2 linked regions of the Saccharomyces cerevisiae S288C genome follow. Changing the gene in region 1 together with any one later gene gives a genetic interaction. Each region holds a gene or a part of one and is shown on either strand. Other genes may lie near its edges.

The links.
Region 2: mutations in MUP3 (region 1) and DAK2 together harm fitness more than expected from each alone (negative genetic interaction), as found in Saccharomyces cerevisiae (one large-scale study listed by BioGRID).

The regions. Positions count from the first base shown.
Region 1 is NC_001140.6:21,859-29,993, forward strand, and holds MUP3 (Mup3p), read left to right. Parts: upstream 1-4,382; coding exon 4,383-6,023; downstream 6,024-8,135. Other genes in the region: EFM1 (protein-lysine N-methyltransferase), read left to right, coding at 1-1,682; CBP2 (Cbp2p), read right to left, coding at 1,759-3,651; YHL037C (uncharacterized protein), read right to left, coding at 3,920-4,321; putative ATP-binding cassette multidrug transporter VMR1, read right to left, coding at 6,120-8,135. UniProt on the Saccharomyces cerevisiae protein: Very low affinity permease for methionine.
Region 2 is NC_001138.5:20,221-28,458, reverse strand, and holds DAK2 (dihydroxyacetone kinase), read right to left. Parts: upstream 5,037-8,238; coding exon 3,261-5,036; downstream 1-3,260. Other genes in the region: ZNF1 (DNA-binding domain containing protein), read right to left, coding at 1-227; AQY3 (Aqy3p), read left to right, coding at 5,672-7,612. UniProt on the Saccharomyces cerevisiae protein: Catalyzes both the phosphorylation of dihydroxyacetone and of glyceraldehyde.

The DNA.
Region 1 (8,135 bases):
CTTTTAGGATTACAGAGGATGCTGGTGTTAGTGCATTTGTAAACGAAAAATTCTCTCCCAAACCCGACCAAGCTTTGATTAGGGTACCCGAAACTCTGCTGATCACTTCCCAGCAAGCTTTATCAGAATTTTCCCAGGCTGCTAATGAAAGGAGTCTTTTGAATTCCGTGACACAGTTGTACTTGTCAAAGTTGAAATTTGGCACCGATGCAGTTCACCTGAAATCCTTTTACAAACCATATTTAGATGTGCTACCCTTGCACCTTCCACAACCATATTTTTGGTCTACTGATGAAGTCATGAATTTGCATGGTACAGACGTGTACTTAACTATGAGAGATACGCTGAACAAACTAGTAAAGGAGTGGAGGATGCTGTTCCAAGCTTTATCTATTGAACACTCTTCTCAAGATAAGCAGTTCTTGTCTTTATTCCAGGAGAATAAAGACTCTGCCGTAGTGCCGTTGGAACAGTTCTGCGCACACATCAATGGATGTAAACTAGAAGATTCGGAATGGAACTCGTTCGTGGCGTATCTTTGGTCGTACTGCATCTTTAATTCTAGGGCATTTCCTCGTGTCATTTTAGGCAGGGCCGGTACAGACCGCACCAATCTGAACGAAGGATTTTTGTATCCAATAGTAGATTTATTAAACCATAAAAACGATGTACCAGTAAGATGGGAGATGAATGAACAAAATGAACTTTGTTTCATGTCGCAGACTACCACATTTAGTGCACAGGATGAATTGTTTAATAATTATGGTAATATTTCTAATGAAAAATGTTTGTTAAACTACGGGTTTTGGGATTCCTCGAATAAGTTTGACTTCTCTAGGTTGACTTTAAAGCTACCATCCACCTTAGTTAGCGGTTTGCCCGTGGATTTTAACAAATCAGGTAATTTTGTTACTGACGATGGAGAAACTACCATTTTACAATTTAGTTTAAAAATTTCTGAACCATTACCACCGGTTCTACTAGCGTTATTTGCCTACCTAAGTAAATTAAAGTCTGAAGAAACTCCAACCGTAAGGAGCGTATTGGAAGGTATTGATCAATTAACATCTGTAGTATCCCAGAGATTGCTGTTTTATAAGAATTTTAAAATTAAAACTTCTTCGACTCAAAAATTACGCCCTCATGTTATTAAACTAATCAAACTATACTATCAAGATAACAAAAAAATTCTGAACGCCACTACTGAGAAATTGTCCGTTTTACAAAAAAAAATATATAGCAATAATAAGGAGTTTTCTCTGTCATTCAAGACAATTTTTAAAAACGACAAAATATTTGCCAATTCTCTCTTACTGGTATTTGGTGCTATAAATTACGAAGATTTGATCACAAAAGACTGTCTTAATGACGCATTGTTGCTCTGGATAGTCAAATTAATCAACGATAAAAGTAATAATCAGGGAGGTTTCATTAAACAAACCTTCAAAGAAGTTAGTGATTCAATTGTCATTGAAAAAGAAGATGTTATGGAGTTTTTGCCGTTCTATAAAAAATACTTCCCTAATTTATCGGAGAGAATTCCAGAAATTTATAGTGTCGGTGATTGGGGCATAAGACAGTTCATTGTGGCAGATACTGCGATTGATAGATTGGTTTGGATCAGGAAATCAAATAAAGAGCCTATATTTCTAATGAAGAAGGCATACGACTTACAGATTTAGCTTTGATCTGTAGCCTAAGTATAAAATTCTACGTATGTATATATTTACATGCAATTTTTTCTTTTTCCAATTCATGTTAATGTTCTTCATCATTTGATAATAGGCCAATGATATTATCTACTATCTTCTCCTTTTGAGGAGAAGCTGCTTTCACTTCCTCGTTGCTTTTCTCTTCGTATAAATACATGAATTTCGACTTGTCCAGCATTTTTTTATCAATACAATGCATGTGCCCATGAAGTTCTACCTCCGACAAATCTTTAACAAAATATGTCGTTATTTGTGTCATGAATTTCAGTAGGGTTTGAAATATTTCGGGTATGGCGTTCTTCTTATCCAGAATAACAATTTTGTAGTTTGCTGATAATGTTATTGGACGAAGCTGGATGGGCCTATTTACGCGGAACTTTTCGCCATATATTTCCTGTTCGAAGTATAAAAGTTGGTTGGCCAATTTCTTTAATCCGTTTGCAGATTGTAGCGATTGTTCATTCGCAAAACCAGGTTCTATTGTTGCATTTATTGACTCAGTGAAACCCACCAACTCCATTAAAGTTGGTCTTAAATCATCTTGCATAAACTTGTACAAGTTTGGCTGGAAAATTCTAATCATTTTCGATTTTGTCAGCACGGTTTGCAAAATTAATGTGATGTGTTCAAATCTTGATAAAGTCGTTTCATCATTTTGGAAAATAGAGAATTGGTTCCATTTCATTTCTGAAATTACCAGTGCGGAATATGTTTGTAGGTCATGAAGAAAAGAGTCGTATTTTGTCTTGTAGTTGATCAGAGAAGCTTGGTCCGTGGGTATTTTCATGGACTCGGTCTCTTGATATTGCTTCCATATATATGAGTCCCAAACATTCCAACTAAATTGAAAGGAAGGCGCATTATCGTTACCAGAGAAGGAACGGATGCTTTTCTTGTTACGTTGTAAAATGGTGAATATATTGTAGAGAATGAAATTTTTGCAAAATTCAGCCCTCAATTGCCGGATGGAGAAGTCGTTTGATAATATTGTAGCTCTTAAAATGTCTCCAGGGCACGTTCTGTCTTTGTTTGATTGTTTGCTCCACAATGTCTTATGGCTAACCGATCTTTCTAAAAGTTGCTTCAAAGTGACGACATTACCACCAGCGATTCGAGTTGTGGCACTGTTTGCATCCAGATAGAATGGTTTACCCTCTTCGTTCGCCAGTATCCGACCAGCGTTAGCCTTCTCAATGCGCTTTCGTTCATTCAAGGTGCAAAGTGGCGAAGCTATCTTGGTCTTCAATTTGTCTACCTCAGTAACGAAAAATTCTCTATGTTTATCTACAAAGTAAGGGAAAATACCAATTCCATCGAATTCCCCAATCATCGCCTCATCGGAAACCTGGAAAAGAGGCAAGGGCTTTGCATTAGCTGGGTTTACAAACATGGGTACCTCACCATTATTTTGTTCCAAGAGTCTATCGTAAGTGCTCTTCTTAACCCCGATTCCCCGACAAAAGTTTGAAAATATCGACTTAGGCCAAATTACACGCTGCAGTTTCAACTTATCATCTTTGCATCGTACCCTTATTAATTGTTGCCACTCGAAAGATGGCTTGAAGTCCTCATCCATTTCGCTGAACAACTTCTCGTAGAGACTTAAGGGGTGGTCAAACATAGGCGCAATCCGTTCCCAGTGTTGGATCCTCTTCTTCGAGGATTTTTGAGTTAGATCTGTTCTAACAATCTTGAATGCGTGTTCGCGAGGGGCGTTTATATCACGTAATAGCAGTTTTTGCAAGTCCGTGAGTGAAATATTATACAGTACTCCTTCAAGATCACAATATTCATAAGATAAGTTTGTCTTCTTAAACGCTTGCTTACAGCGAGGGAACACCTGATGTGTGATATTCTCCATGTTGAACTTATACCTGTAACGAGAGGAACTGCCCTGTCTCCTCAATGAGACCATGAACAATGTTTGCCAATTCACCATTTTGGTCACTCTGTCTCAAACCTTTCCTTCAGCGCAGCCTTACTCCTTCAAGAGAAGCCTTCATTGTCCATTCACTTAAGCATAATTTGTCATCTTCAATGCAATTGAACTTTCACTAAATACACCCATACACACCAATCTTGGATTCTACTCGGCGGCAATCTTCACTCTTTCCTTTGTTTTATCATTTTCTATTCCACCTTTAGTTCCCCAACTTCACCTCTTATCGAACTATCAACACATTTGACTATCATTTTGGCAAATTCACTCACGTGAGGGCGTGTGCTAACCATGCAAGGGTTATGGCATGCGCATCCATGTGGCGTTTCCTACTTTTATTTTTACATAATATATAAGATAATTGCACATGCAAACAGTCAATCTTTTTCCTGCAATTGATGTGGAGACCAAAAGGTTTGCATCTCCTAGTACCACGATTTTTTGGTGCAAAAGTGTTGATAATGTAATTCAGGTAGAAAAGGTAGAAGTTTCCTCTAGTATGTTCACAGATTGGATTAGAAAAAAAGATCACGCGACTCTTGCCGGAAAAAACTGTGGCGTCGCTGCATATATATGACAAATCAATCATATAGATTAGAGGCCTGCCTGAGTCAAGGGGCAAAAACAATACACATATAAAGACCTGGATGCTTATCGATGATCTGTACATTCTGTTTGTAGTCTAAGTTGCTGAGGGCAACGTAGACGTACAGTGCTCAAAATAAGTAAAAATGGAACCGCTGCTTTTTAATAGTGGGAAAGCAAATCCCTCTCAAGATGTTTTCATAGATGTGGAAGTTGGTGATATTACCACAAAATATGGTTCCACAAATACTGGATCATTCAGTTCGATGGATACTGTGGAAGCGCAGGCGATAAAGGCAGAGACGGCAAGATTCATGGAAGTTCCACAGGGAAGACATTTAGGTGTGTTCTCCACGGTTGTGTTATTTGTTTCGAGGATAATGGGGTCAGGTATATTTGCAGTACCCAGTGTGATTTTACTGAATACAGGTGGTAATAAGCTGATATATTTTGCGATCTGGGTTTTTAGCGCTGCGATCGCTTTTGCAGGATTGTATCTTTTTCTAGAATTTGGTTCCTGGATACCGAAATCAGGTGGACGTAAAAACTTCCTCGAACGGAGTTTTGAAAGACCCAGACTATTAATTAGTGTGGTGTTTTCGTGTTACAGTGTTTTAACTGGCTATGCATTGACGGGATCTATCGTCTTCGGTAAATACGTGTTGAGCGCATTTGGAGTCACGGATGATTCGTGGTCCAAGTACGTCAGCATATCATTTATAATATTTGCCGTTCTCATTCACGGTGTCTCTGTAAGGCACGGAGTGTTTATACAGAACGCACTTGGTGGTTTGAAGTTGATCATGATTGTCTTGATGTGCTTTGCCGGGCTATACACGCTTTTCTTTTATAAAAGCACCGGTCAAGTTGCCTGGGACCTCCCAGTAACCCAAGTTGAGAAAGATTCTCTCCTGTCGGTGTCCTCTATTGCTACTGCCTTTATCAGCTCATTCTTTTGTTTTTCTGGATGGGATACAGTTCACACAGTTACATCAGAAATTAAGAATCCCGTTAAGACGTTGAAGGTGTCAGGTCCCTTATCGTTGATAATTTGTTTTGTCTGCTACACAATGATGAATGTGGCATACTTGAAAGTTTTGACATATGAGGAAATTGTTAGTGCAGGCCCCCTGGTTGGTTCCGTGTTGTTTACCAAACTTTTCGGACCCAGAGTTGGTGGCAAATTCATTGCTTTTTCTATCGCCATTTCTGCAGCATCTAATATTCTGGTTGTCATTTACAGTATATCAAGAGTTAACCAGGAAATATTCAAAGAAGGTTATTTACCATTCAGTATTCATATGTCCAAAAATTGGCCATTTGATGCACCTCTACCATCTATTTCTTTATGTGGCTTTATAACCATTGCTTGGATATTGATTTTACCCAAAGAGGGCGAATCCTTCAATTATCTGGTATCGATGGATGGTTATGGTAATCAGTTTTTCTTATTATTGGTCGCTATTGGGCTCTTTATTTGGAGGTTCAAACACAAGAACGAAGTCCCAGAGATTCGTGCATCTACTTTTGGAGTATTAGCCATTATTACATTATCATTATACATGTTGATGGCACCATTCTTTGCCGACCCTAGCCTAAACAGAGTTGGGTTCCTGCCGCCCTACCAAATCATGTCATTACTGGTAATAGTTGCATGCTTCTTTTTCTGGTTAGTTAAATTCGTTTTACTACCTAAATTCTTCCATTATAAACTTTTACCCAAAATCACTTATTTGCATGATGGGCTCATTGTCACAGAATGGGTGAAAAAGCCATGTCTGTGTTAGTTTTTCCTTTTCTACATAAATATTTTATAGACTACTATTGCATTTTTAATAAATAATATTCATCCTCATCTTTGAATAAAAGAAAGAAACATTCGATTATTTCATCATCTTACTTGATTGCTTGGCTATTTGCTTCAAAAGCTCTAGGCCCCCACTGTCACGACACATACTATAAAATATACCGCGTTCATCTTTCAACAGTTCACTAGGGCGATCATATTCTTTTACCTCACCGGCATCCATCACAATTATCCTGTCGTAATCGATAACAGATCTCAAACGATGTGCAATAGTAAGAATTGTGCTTTTATTAAACTCACTTCTTATAATACCCTGAATTAAATGGTCAGAATCGTAATCAATAGAGGAAGTAGCCTCGTCCAAAAGTATTATCTTTGGCTCGCGTAACAATGATCGTGCAATAAAAAGCAATTGCCTTTCACCTTGGGACAGATTTAAGCCGCCCTCAGCTATTTCTGTGTGAAGATTTAAAAATTTATTATGAGTGCTGTTAAAGCGTTCCTCCGAGTTAAGCACTTCTTCAAATTCATGTGAAGAAATTAGATTTACTTGTGAAAGTGCTTTGAATATTTTTTTTTCATCATATTCATCATATGGATCAACATTACTTTTGATTGTACCTGCAAATAGAATAGGGTCCTGAGGGATGATAGTAATGGAACGACGTAATGTAACGAGATCAATTTTACTTATATCCTGCCCATCTATTTTGATACATCCGGTTATTGGTTCTAGTAATCTGAATAATGCCGTTATTATGGTAGATTTGCCTGCGCCAGTTCTTCCGACAATCCCAATCTTACTTTGAGGATCCACTTTGAAACTAACATTTCTTATGACAGGAGGCAAATTTGGCGCGTAACGTAAAGATAAGTTTTCAATTTCAATTTCTCCATCTTTTGGCCACGATGGTTCGTTTAGAAGTAGAATGCGGCCTTCATCATGGCCAAGATAGTTCTCTTGTTCAATGCTAGAATATTCTTTTAGTCTTTCAACAGAGTTCATGTTCATTTCAAATGTTGAGTACAGTCTAACTAACCATAAAGCACCATCTGTAAACAAAATGGCATATGTCAAAGAAATGCCGGCAAGACCCGAGTCAATATTTGCAATATTGAGCAGAATAAAAGAACCTGATGCTAAAACAATGAATGCGCCAATCATGTCGACTCTAAAAGAAAACCATTTGACAGTAACTGATAAATAAAAGAATGCTCTGTTATTTTGGTCAATTTTGTTCATATTTTCTAAAATGAATCTCCTCTCGTCGCCAAATGCACGAATTGTGCAAACGCCTACCAAGGTCTCTGAGAAATGTTGAAAAATGGGTGATTTGGTTATTGAATCTAACCTTTTCAATTCTCTACTTGCCGTTAAGTACCATTTCCCCACAAAGAAATATAAAACAAAAACGATAACGGCGACTGTCAAAAAGCGAGGAGTTATTACGGTAATGAGAAATATAATTGATGCGCATTGAATTAGGCAAAATATAGTTACTTCTAAGTATGGAATCAATTCTTGATCAACACCTTCGATGTCCTTTGAAAAGCGATTCATGATTCTACCAACCGGCGTCACGTCGAAAAATCGTATTTGGGCATGTAGAACTAGATCTAGCAGATTATTAAAGATCTTTCTGGAGGCTCGCATACCGGATAAAAACGTCATCATTGTTTTAAAACCACCTAGCATTGCCTGAATGATACCAATAAGAAAATATACGGTTAAGTAATAAAATGCATTATGTTTATTTTTCGAAGAGTCGGTCATCCCTTTTAATGGCAGCGTGTCCATCGCAAAACCTGGAGCATTTATTCGTACATTGGTATCGTTGACCCAATGTCGTATCCACCAAGACTGACTGATGAACAAAATTTGAGCTGTGATATAAAGAGCGAACAGGGCTGTTAAAGCTTTGAAGCCTCCAAAAAATTTCAGGTACCATTTATAAACATCGGGGCTTATGGCACCGTTTGATTTTTCTTCCTCTTCTATTAGCTGGCCATCATTGACAAAATTTGCATCAAAATTTATGTTCTCGGTGACAGGTTCGATTTTCTGAGAGTCATTTTTTCTGGGAGCTTTTAA
Region 2 (8,238 bases), on another chromosome or scaffold:
GCCTTTGGAACCTTCATTATGCCACCACTACTACTTTTACTAAATACCTGTACATCATCTACTTTCTTTAAATTTCTCACCTTGACGGGTTTTGGACCTCTTTTCTTCAAAGGTCGAAGATATGTACATTGCAGATTGTGTTGAAGACAACATTTACATGGTTTTTTACGATCACACTTTACTCGACGAATGCAACAACAGTCGCACGCTTGTCTATTGCGGGCCATCTTCGAACTAGAGCTCTTTTACTTTAGCTCTTTTGACAAGACAATGAAGCATTTCTTGAAGGTTTTCTTCTTTTCTCCGTATTTAAGTCAACAAGATATAGCTAATTTATTAAGCCGGGGGTGGGGAAAAACGCGGTAGTAACGTGGGGTACTTTAAAGTGGGGGAGATGGCACAGACAAAGCCGCAGGTACCTCGAGAACTCAGGGGAAAAAGGAACGCAGTTCAATAAGCTACCGATTTGGCAGATCTCAGGAGTAAAAATATAAATCTTAGTGCACATACAAGTGATAACTGCAACTCCAGATTTTTCTTTCGGTCGATTCGTTGATGCAACAATGTCGAAATTATAGTTAGGCGTTTGTTCCTGTAATTTAACTTCAAGTGGAGGAGTCAATGTTCTTTCCTATGTTCTATTTGTGGGATAGAAAAGTTAAAAAGAAGGTTTTTGAGTATCCCAGTGATAGTGCAGTACTACTTCTGTGTATTCCCGATTATTACAACGGCGGAGTTTTTTTCGCATAAACTCAGACTACTAAGTAACTCTCGAGCATCGTGAAGATCCTGATACTTTATCTATGCATTACGTACGGAACGGAGTGAGGCCTTTCTCCAGAAAAATCGTTGAGATGGCATGTAGGTTCTAGATTTGTGACGACACTCAACAAGAAAAGTTTGAGGTGAATATCTTACCCGCGACATCTGGAGCGAGAAGAAAGCCGTAATCGATAACGTATTCTCTCAATGCTGTGGCGTTTCAGTAGTATTTTGTTATTACCGACGAAAACGGTTCCTCAAGAAATAAAATATATCTAGAGGTAAGTTGCAAAACGCTAGACTATTTATGGCAAGATTAGTATTTGCTGTCGTGATATCATAAGTAGAGACACATGTTCAGCTTCTCACTTGAATTTAGGTTAGAACAAAATCTTTAAACAGCAGTTACAATGAATGTTTGGGAGACCTAGTCAGTCTCCATACTGCCAAGAAAAAGGTTAGTCGAACTGGAAAAACAAGGCTGTACTGCACCCTAATGTTTCTTAGTAAGCAATTCGCTATCGACGCCGAATACCATGAACATCAACCTTGTGAAAGCTTTCGCATATTGGCGCTCAAGAGATATAGACGGTACTAGTGAAAGAGAGACAAGGCCGCCGGATTACTTGCTCTCGTCATTGTAATTGTTCAATTTCACAGACATTTCTCTGGCATGTATCCATTGGGGCACCACAATAAGGGAATATTTTACAATATCGTAAGCTGTTCGTAATACGCGGCTTCTCTTTACTCAAAGCCCAATGAATCCTGGCTTCGAAAATCATACAAACTGTGAAATCTACTTATTTGAAATGACAAACACTGCTTCCCAGTCTGGAGGCTCTCTTTGAGGATAACTAACATGTATGGCTAAAAATAGTTAAAATAATTGAGACGACATTGCACTTGCTATAATCAGACTTCAATAACATATGCATACAAGAAACTTCTCTTTTGAAATAGGAGCGGGGCTCCATCACAAAGAGATTGAAATTTGATACTAGCTCTAAAATCGAGGCAGGGATGTTCCAATGATCGAGTTTGTCATGAAATATAAGGATGTTCACGTCAAGCTCGAGAAATGTTTCAAAATACCGCGAAATAACTCAAAAAGCTGGGTCACGAAGAAATGATTCTAGAAACAGGCGCTTATGCTCTTATATAATGAGATGTCTACATCGTCAGAACTAAGTGCGAAGAATACGGCCTACATTAGAGATTCTTCAAGGTAGTGAAACGTATTCGTGGCAGTGGTTATGGAACTGCCTTACGGTTGATTCAAAAGACTCATTGCATACTCAATTTAAAACGGCTCAAATCATTTGAAAAAATAATAGGCAATATAAAATAGAGAAATCACAGCACCTTGACGGACTGATATTACGAATAACGAGTATCATTGCCAAAGTTTGGCGTATGGGCGACGTGCGTCCATGCAAATCTACAGTAGATATTTTCAAAAGAGATCATTGTCAAAAAGATAACTAACTACTCATGCTTTGAGGGCATGCAAAGTTTCCAGAAAAAAAAAGATGAACCACACTTAAGCTGAAGCAAATTATAAGTGTTGAAATGACTAGGCGCAGTTAATACGCAACTCAATCAGTCAACACAGGCTGGTTACTTTCTAAGTTACAGCATAAGTTTAGAGTAATTATTGAAATCTGTTGATATAGGTTGATTTCTTAGATGCATGAAATGCAGCAAGATCTTCATATGATTTCAGAGATTAGTCAAAAAGTTGTTAACAGTCATGCATAATATCACTAATTGGTAGAACAAGAATCAACTACTTTATTTGTCAATATTTTCAGAGAAAAATTGATGTATAGGGTTGACCATAAAATAATGAATGACACCATTTTTTTTTTGAAAGAGAAAACAAGATACAAACATTTAAAATATGCTGTTGAGTTCAATGCCTTCCATGAATTAATAAGATTAGGAAAAAAAATTACAATACATTCTATACTTCTAATACTACGATCTTTATTGAAATCGAATCCGAAATAAGAGAATCATAAAACTTAGATTGCTATCCTAGAACTTGTTCATAGTATCAGAGAATGTGCAGATCTTCTAAAAAGGAATTGAGACTATTCATAGGTAAGAAAACAGCGGGGAAAAGAAAGTTAACACCTGTTTGTTGACTTGCGAGAAAAAAGAGATTGGAATGGATTTAAACACTCCGATTTAATTTAAAGAAAACAATGGCTATTCAAAAAATCTTCCTGGACAAATTATACTTCCAGACAACACAGGGGAACGGAGAAGGAATCAAGAAAAGTAATTGTAGATTGCAGAAAGAACAATTAAAAGCTGCAAGAAGCATTACTTTTTAGCTTAATTTGCGGTACTTCATCAATTCGTATATCTATAAAAATATATTCAGAGACACAACTAGTTCACCTTCAGTTGGAGTATTCAATTTTTTAAAAAGTTCAAAAATGAAAGCCTTTAAAGCTGTTATGTTTGGCTTCTAGTGTGTACGAGCAATTCTAGTACCCAGCAGCTGTAACAAATCCATCGAGTAGTGCAGCAAGACCAACTGCTCCTGGATCTGGTAATCCACCTTCGCTGTCGAGTTTTCTCAGCTCCTCCTTAGCCACGTAAGAAGCACGCCCAACAAGGGCATCCATCTTCCTTGTCTTTTCGGCACCATCATAAGCAGCTTGGGCGGCGGCTCTGGGACCCTTCCCGGCTTTCAGCGCTTCGACAAAAGGTTGCAGAGCATCGATCAGAGTCCTGTAACCAGGACGGGCTCTCGTATACTTATACAAAGCATCTAGTGCAACGTTTGATGCCTTTTTGAAAGTTTCCGCAGTAAGTTCCTTGTCCCCAGAATCCCTAACTCCTTGTGCGAGAGCAGAAAGATAGATAGAGTACAGACCACCGGACGTACCACCCATAGAATCCTCAACCATATACGCAATATCTTCGATACCAAGAGCAGCATCCTCGAGGCGCAACGTATGGTTTTTAATAGCTTCTTCCAATGCTTCACCACCGGACACAAGAGTAGTTCCGCAATCACCATCTCCTGCAATGGTATCGTACCAAGTAACCTTTGGTTCAACCTCGTTAATTTTTGCAATCCCAGCAAGCAAAATTTTAGCAAAAGTGTCATAATCAGCTTTCACACCCGAACCTTTTTCATTCCTCAATGTCTTTAAAGAGGGGGCGGTGGGAACCTGCCCTTTGGCAAGTACCTCCCAATCTTTGGCAGAATGGTACATTTGATTCCATCCACTCGCTGTGGTAGGATAATCGAAATACTTAAGGATATCGCCACCAGCTTTTGAAGCGTTCATAAGAGTGATACCAAACCCAGGACCATTCAATGCAGTAATGAATGCTCCAGTAATCGTTCTCTTGGGCACAATTTGATACTTATCAATCAATTGTTCAGAAATGACCTCTGCAGCATAACCCAATTCTAGATTAGACATACCACCCATGTTGTTAACCATAAGAACTACGTCCTCTTTGGGCTCAAACTTCACATAAGAACGGTCTTCATCCTCATCGAGAAGAAGAGGAAGCATCTGGGAAACGAGCTCAGAAATCGATGGCAGCGGAGAAGACTTATAGGTACCAGACTCGTTATGAATACCCATACCGATTTCATACTCATTCTCGCCCAAAATGGCTTCAGGTTTGTGGCCAGGAACCGTGCAGTGATCAAGAGATGCCGCAATTGTGACACTATTGTCAACTACTGACTGAGCAACTTCGGCAACTTCTGCCAACTCCAGTCCATGAGAAGCGGCTGCCCCAGCAATTTTATGCACCAATACGGTGGCTCCGAGACCTCGACGCCCGACTAAAGAACCTTTCTTCTTACCGACAGAGACATCATCTCCTACAGCAACCAGTTCGACTTTCATTCCAGCAGCTTTAGCTCTTTCAGCAGCGAGACCAAAATGTATAATATCACCGGTGTAATTTTTTACAATGATCAAGGTACCCTTAGGAGATTCAACAGCTTTAATAGCAGAATAGATCTGTTTAGTTGAAGGAGAAGCAAAAATGGCACCTGCTGCAATCGCATCTAAGGCACCTTCACCAACAAAACCGGCATGCGTTGGCTCATGACCACTGCCACCTCCAGAAACCAATGAAACTTTAGGAGGGTTCCCTGAATTAGGAGCTGACGCAGTCCGGAAAACCACTCTGTCGTGCTTAATCACTGTAAGGCCGGGATTGCTTCGAGCAAGGCCAAGTAGGTAGGGAGTAACGATGTTTCCATCTGATTTGAATTGTTTGTGAGACATGATTATTTAGTCAATTGTAGTTGGGTTTTGTCAGATTTTGAGGTAAAATACACTTTACAGACAATACTAGAAAAAAAAAGGGCTGATCTGGGTTCATTTATATATATTTAATGATCCAAAGTTTGAAAATTCAATCACACATTGCGGTATTTTCCCCTTCTCGTATTGTTGAGATCCTTATACAATATCAAGTACTTAATTATCCAACTATGGTGACGTAAGAATTTACTTGGCTCAATATCTCCCTATTTGGTACTACGATACGATTTCATGAAATTATGAGTTAAATAATTTAGAATCTAGTTATGGCCTGGCGGGAATTGTTTCTGTGCAGGGATTTACTCACAATCACCCTCTGCGGGAATAATATGCATAGGTTGTGATTAATTTTTTAAATTAAGTTCCATCAGAAGGCCTAGTTTTCTCCGTTGATAACTCCGCTCCGGAATATCATAATTTTCCGGTACCCCACTTACCCCGGAAATTTGAGTTATAAACGTTGTTTGAGCTTTACCTAGTCTTGGTCGATCAAAAGTTCTGGTACCTTTTCACCATGTCTCCCCCTTATTCATATAAAAAGAAGCGTATAATCGCACAGTATAACGCTCCTCTGATATATGATCTAGACCCAAGTAATGAGTTACGAATCTGGGAGGTCATCCTCCTCTTCCGAGAGTACACGGCCACCAACGCTAAAAGAAGAACCTAATGGTAAAATAGCTTGGGAAGAAAGTGTCAAAAAATCTAGGGAAAATAACGAAAATGACAGCACTCTCTTGAGGCGAAAGCTAGGTGAGACTCGAAAAGCAATTGAAACTGGAGGATCATCGAGAAATAAACTTTCTGCTTTGACACCCTTGAAAAAAGTGGTTGACGAGAGGAAGGATTCGGTACAACCACAGGTCCCTTCCATGGGTTTTACTTATTCTTTGCCTAATTTGAAGACTTTAAACAGTTTTTCAGATGCTGAGCAAGCACGTATAATGCAAGATTATCTATCCAGGGGGGTAAATCAAGGCAACAGTAATAATTATGTAGACCCACTATATCGGCAATTAAATCCAACTATGGGTAGTAGCAGGAACAGGCCTGTTTGGAGTTTAAATCAGCCGTTACCGCATGTATTGGATCGAGGCTTGGCAGCAAAGATGATACAAAAGAATATGGATGCAAGGTCCCGCGCATCATCGAGACGAGGGTCGACCGATATTTCAAGGGGGGGTTCTACTACGTCAGTGAAAGACTGGAAAAGGCTCCTTAGAGGTGCAGCACCGGGTAAAAAGCTTGGTGACATCGAAGCTCAAACGCAACGCGATAATACTGTTGGTGCAGATGTGAAACCTACTAAGTTAGAGCCTGAAAACCCACAAAAGCCCTCTAACACGCATATTGAGAATGTTTCACGTAAGAAAAAGCGTACTTCGCATAATGTCAATTTTTCATTAGGCGATGAAAGCTACGCATCCTCCATAGCCGATGCAGAATCCAGAAAATTAAAGAACATGCAAACCCTCGATGGTTCTACTCCGGTTTATACGAAGCTTCCTGAAGAACTTATTGAAGAGGAAAATAAAAGTACGAGTGCATTAGATGGTAATGAAATTGGTGCCTCAGAAGATGAAGACGCGGATATAATGACATTTCCTAACTTTTGGGCAAAAATTCGCTATCATATGCGAGAACCGTTTGCGGAGTTTCTCGGGACACTAGTTCTTGTCATTTTTGGTGTTGGTGGTAATCTTCAAGCAACTGTAACAAAAGGTAGTGGTGGTTCCTATGAATCCCTATCATTTGCATGGGGGTTCGGTTGTATGCTTGGTGTTTACGTCGCAGGCGGTATTAGTGGTGGTCATATTAACCCTGCTGTTACGATTTCAATGGCAATTTTTCGAAAATTCCCCTGGAAAAAGGTGCCCGTATATATTGTTGCTCAGATTATCGGTGCATATTTTGGAGGAGCTATGGCTTATGGTTATTTTTGGAGCTCTATCACAGAATTTGAGGGAGGTCCGCACATAAGAACAACGGCGACCGGTGCGTGTTTGTTTACTGATCCAAAGTCTTACGTCACGTGGAGAAATGCCTTCTTTGACGAATTCATAGGAGCCTCTATACTTGTGGGTTGTTTGATGGCGCTATTGGATGATAGTAATGCTCCACCTGGCAATGGTATGACCGCATTAATTATTGGATTCTTAGTCGCTGCAATTGGTATGGCCCTTGGATATCAAACAAGTTTCACAATCAATCCTGCAAGAGATCTCGGTCCTCGCATATTTGCTTCCATGATTGGCTATGGTCCACATGCTTTTCATCTCACACATTGGTGGTGGACATGGGGAGCCTGGGGTGGTCCAATTGCCGGCGGTATTGCTGGAGCACTCATATATGACATTTTCATTTTTACTGGATGCGAATCCCCAGTCAACTACCCAGACAACGGTTATATTGAGAATAGGGTAGGTAAACTTTTACATGCGGAGTTCCACCAGAATGATGGCACTGTCTCAGATGAATCTGGTGTTAACAGCAACAGCAACACTGGCAGCAAGAAATCTGTGCCTACTTCGTCATAATTAATATTTTCAATTTTTTACGATTTATAACCTAATTATTAATTTCACGAACTTATTATTTGACGACATACTACATCCGGGAGCCGTGACTTTGTTACCATCTCTTACTTGTGCTCTAAATTCTATCGTTTTGTTTTTGTAATAAAGAATGAGACTGCCTGCGGCTTAATTGTCTTTTTATTGTAGGCAAGAACAAAATTCGACTAATACGTAAAATTAAATGTCAAACCAGGAGTCTCACATTATGTTATTAATAAAAATAATAAAATTTTCAGCTCGTTGACGATAGGAAAATTCCTGGCACCATCAACTAGGTAATCCCACTGAAGATGTGTTTTATATGAATATGTGCTATATTTACTAATAATAAAGAGCAAGTTGCCAAATAAACTAATTGTGCTCAAAGAAAATTATTGTCATTATCATATATTTTCTCATATGCAATTTCAATCAATTTTAGACAAGTGATTATATATATGTAAACGGTTGTTTTTTGATGTTACGTTCTGTATGATTGACCAATGCTATTTTTCTCATGCGATATAAATTGGAGAAGTGCCATATTGATTTACGTTACTCAAGTTGTCAATTTCAGCCTGACGTTGAAAAAGATAACAAAATTTGCT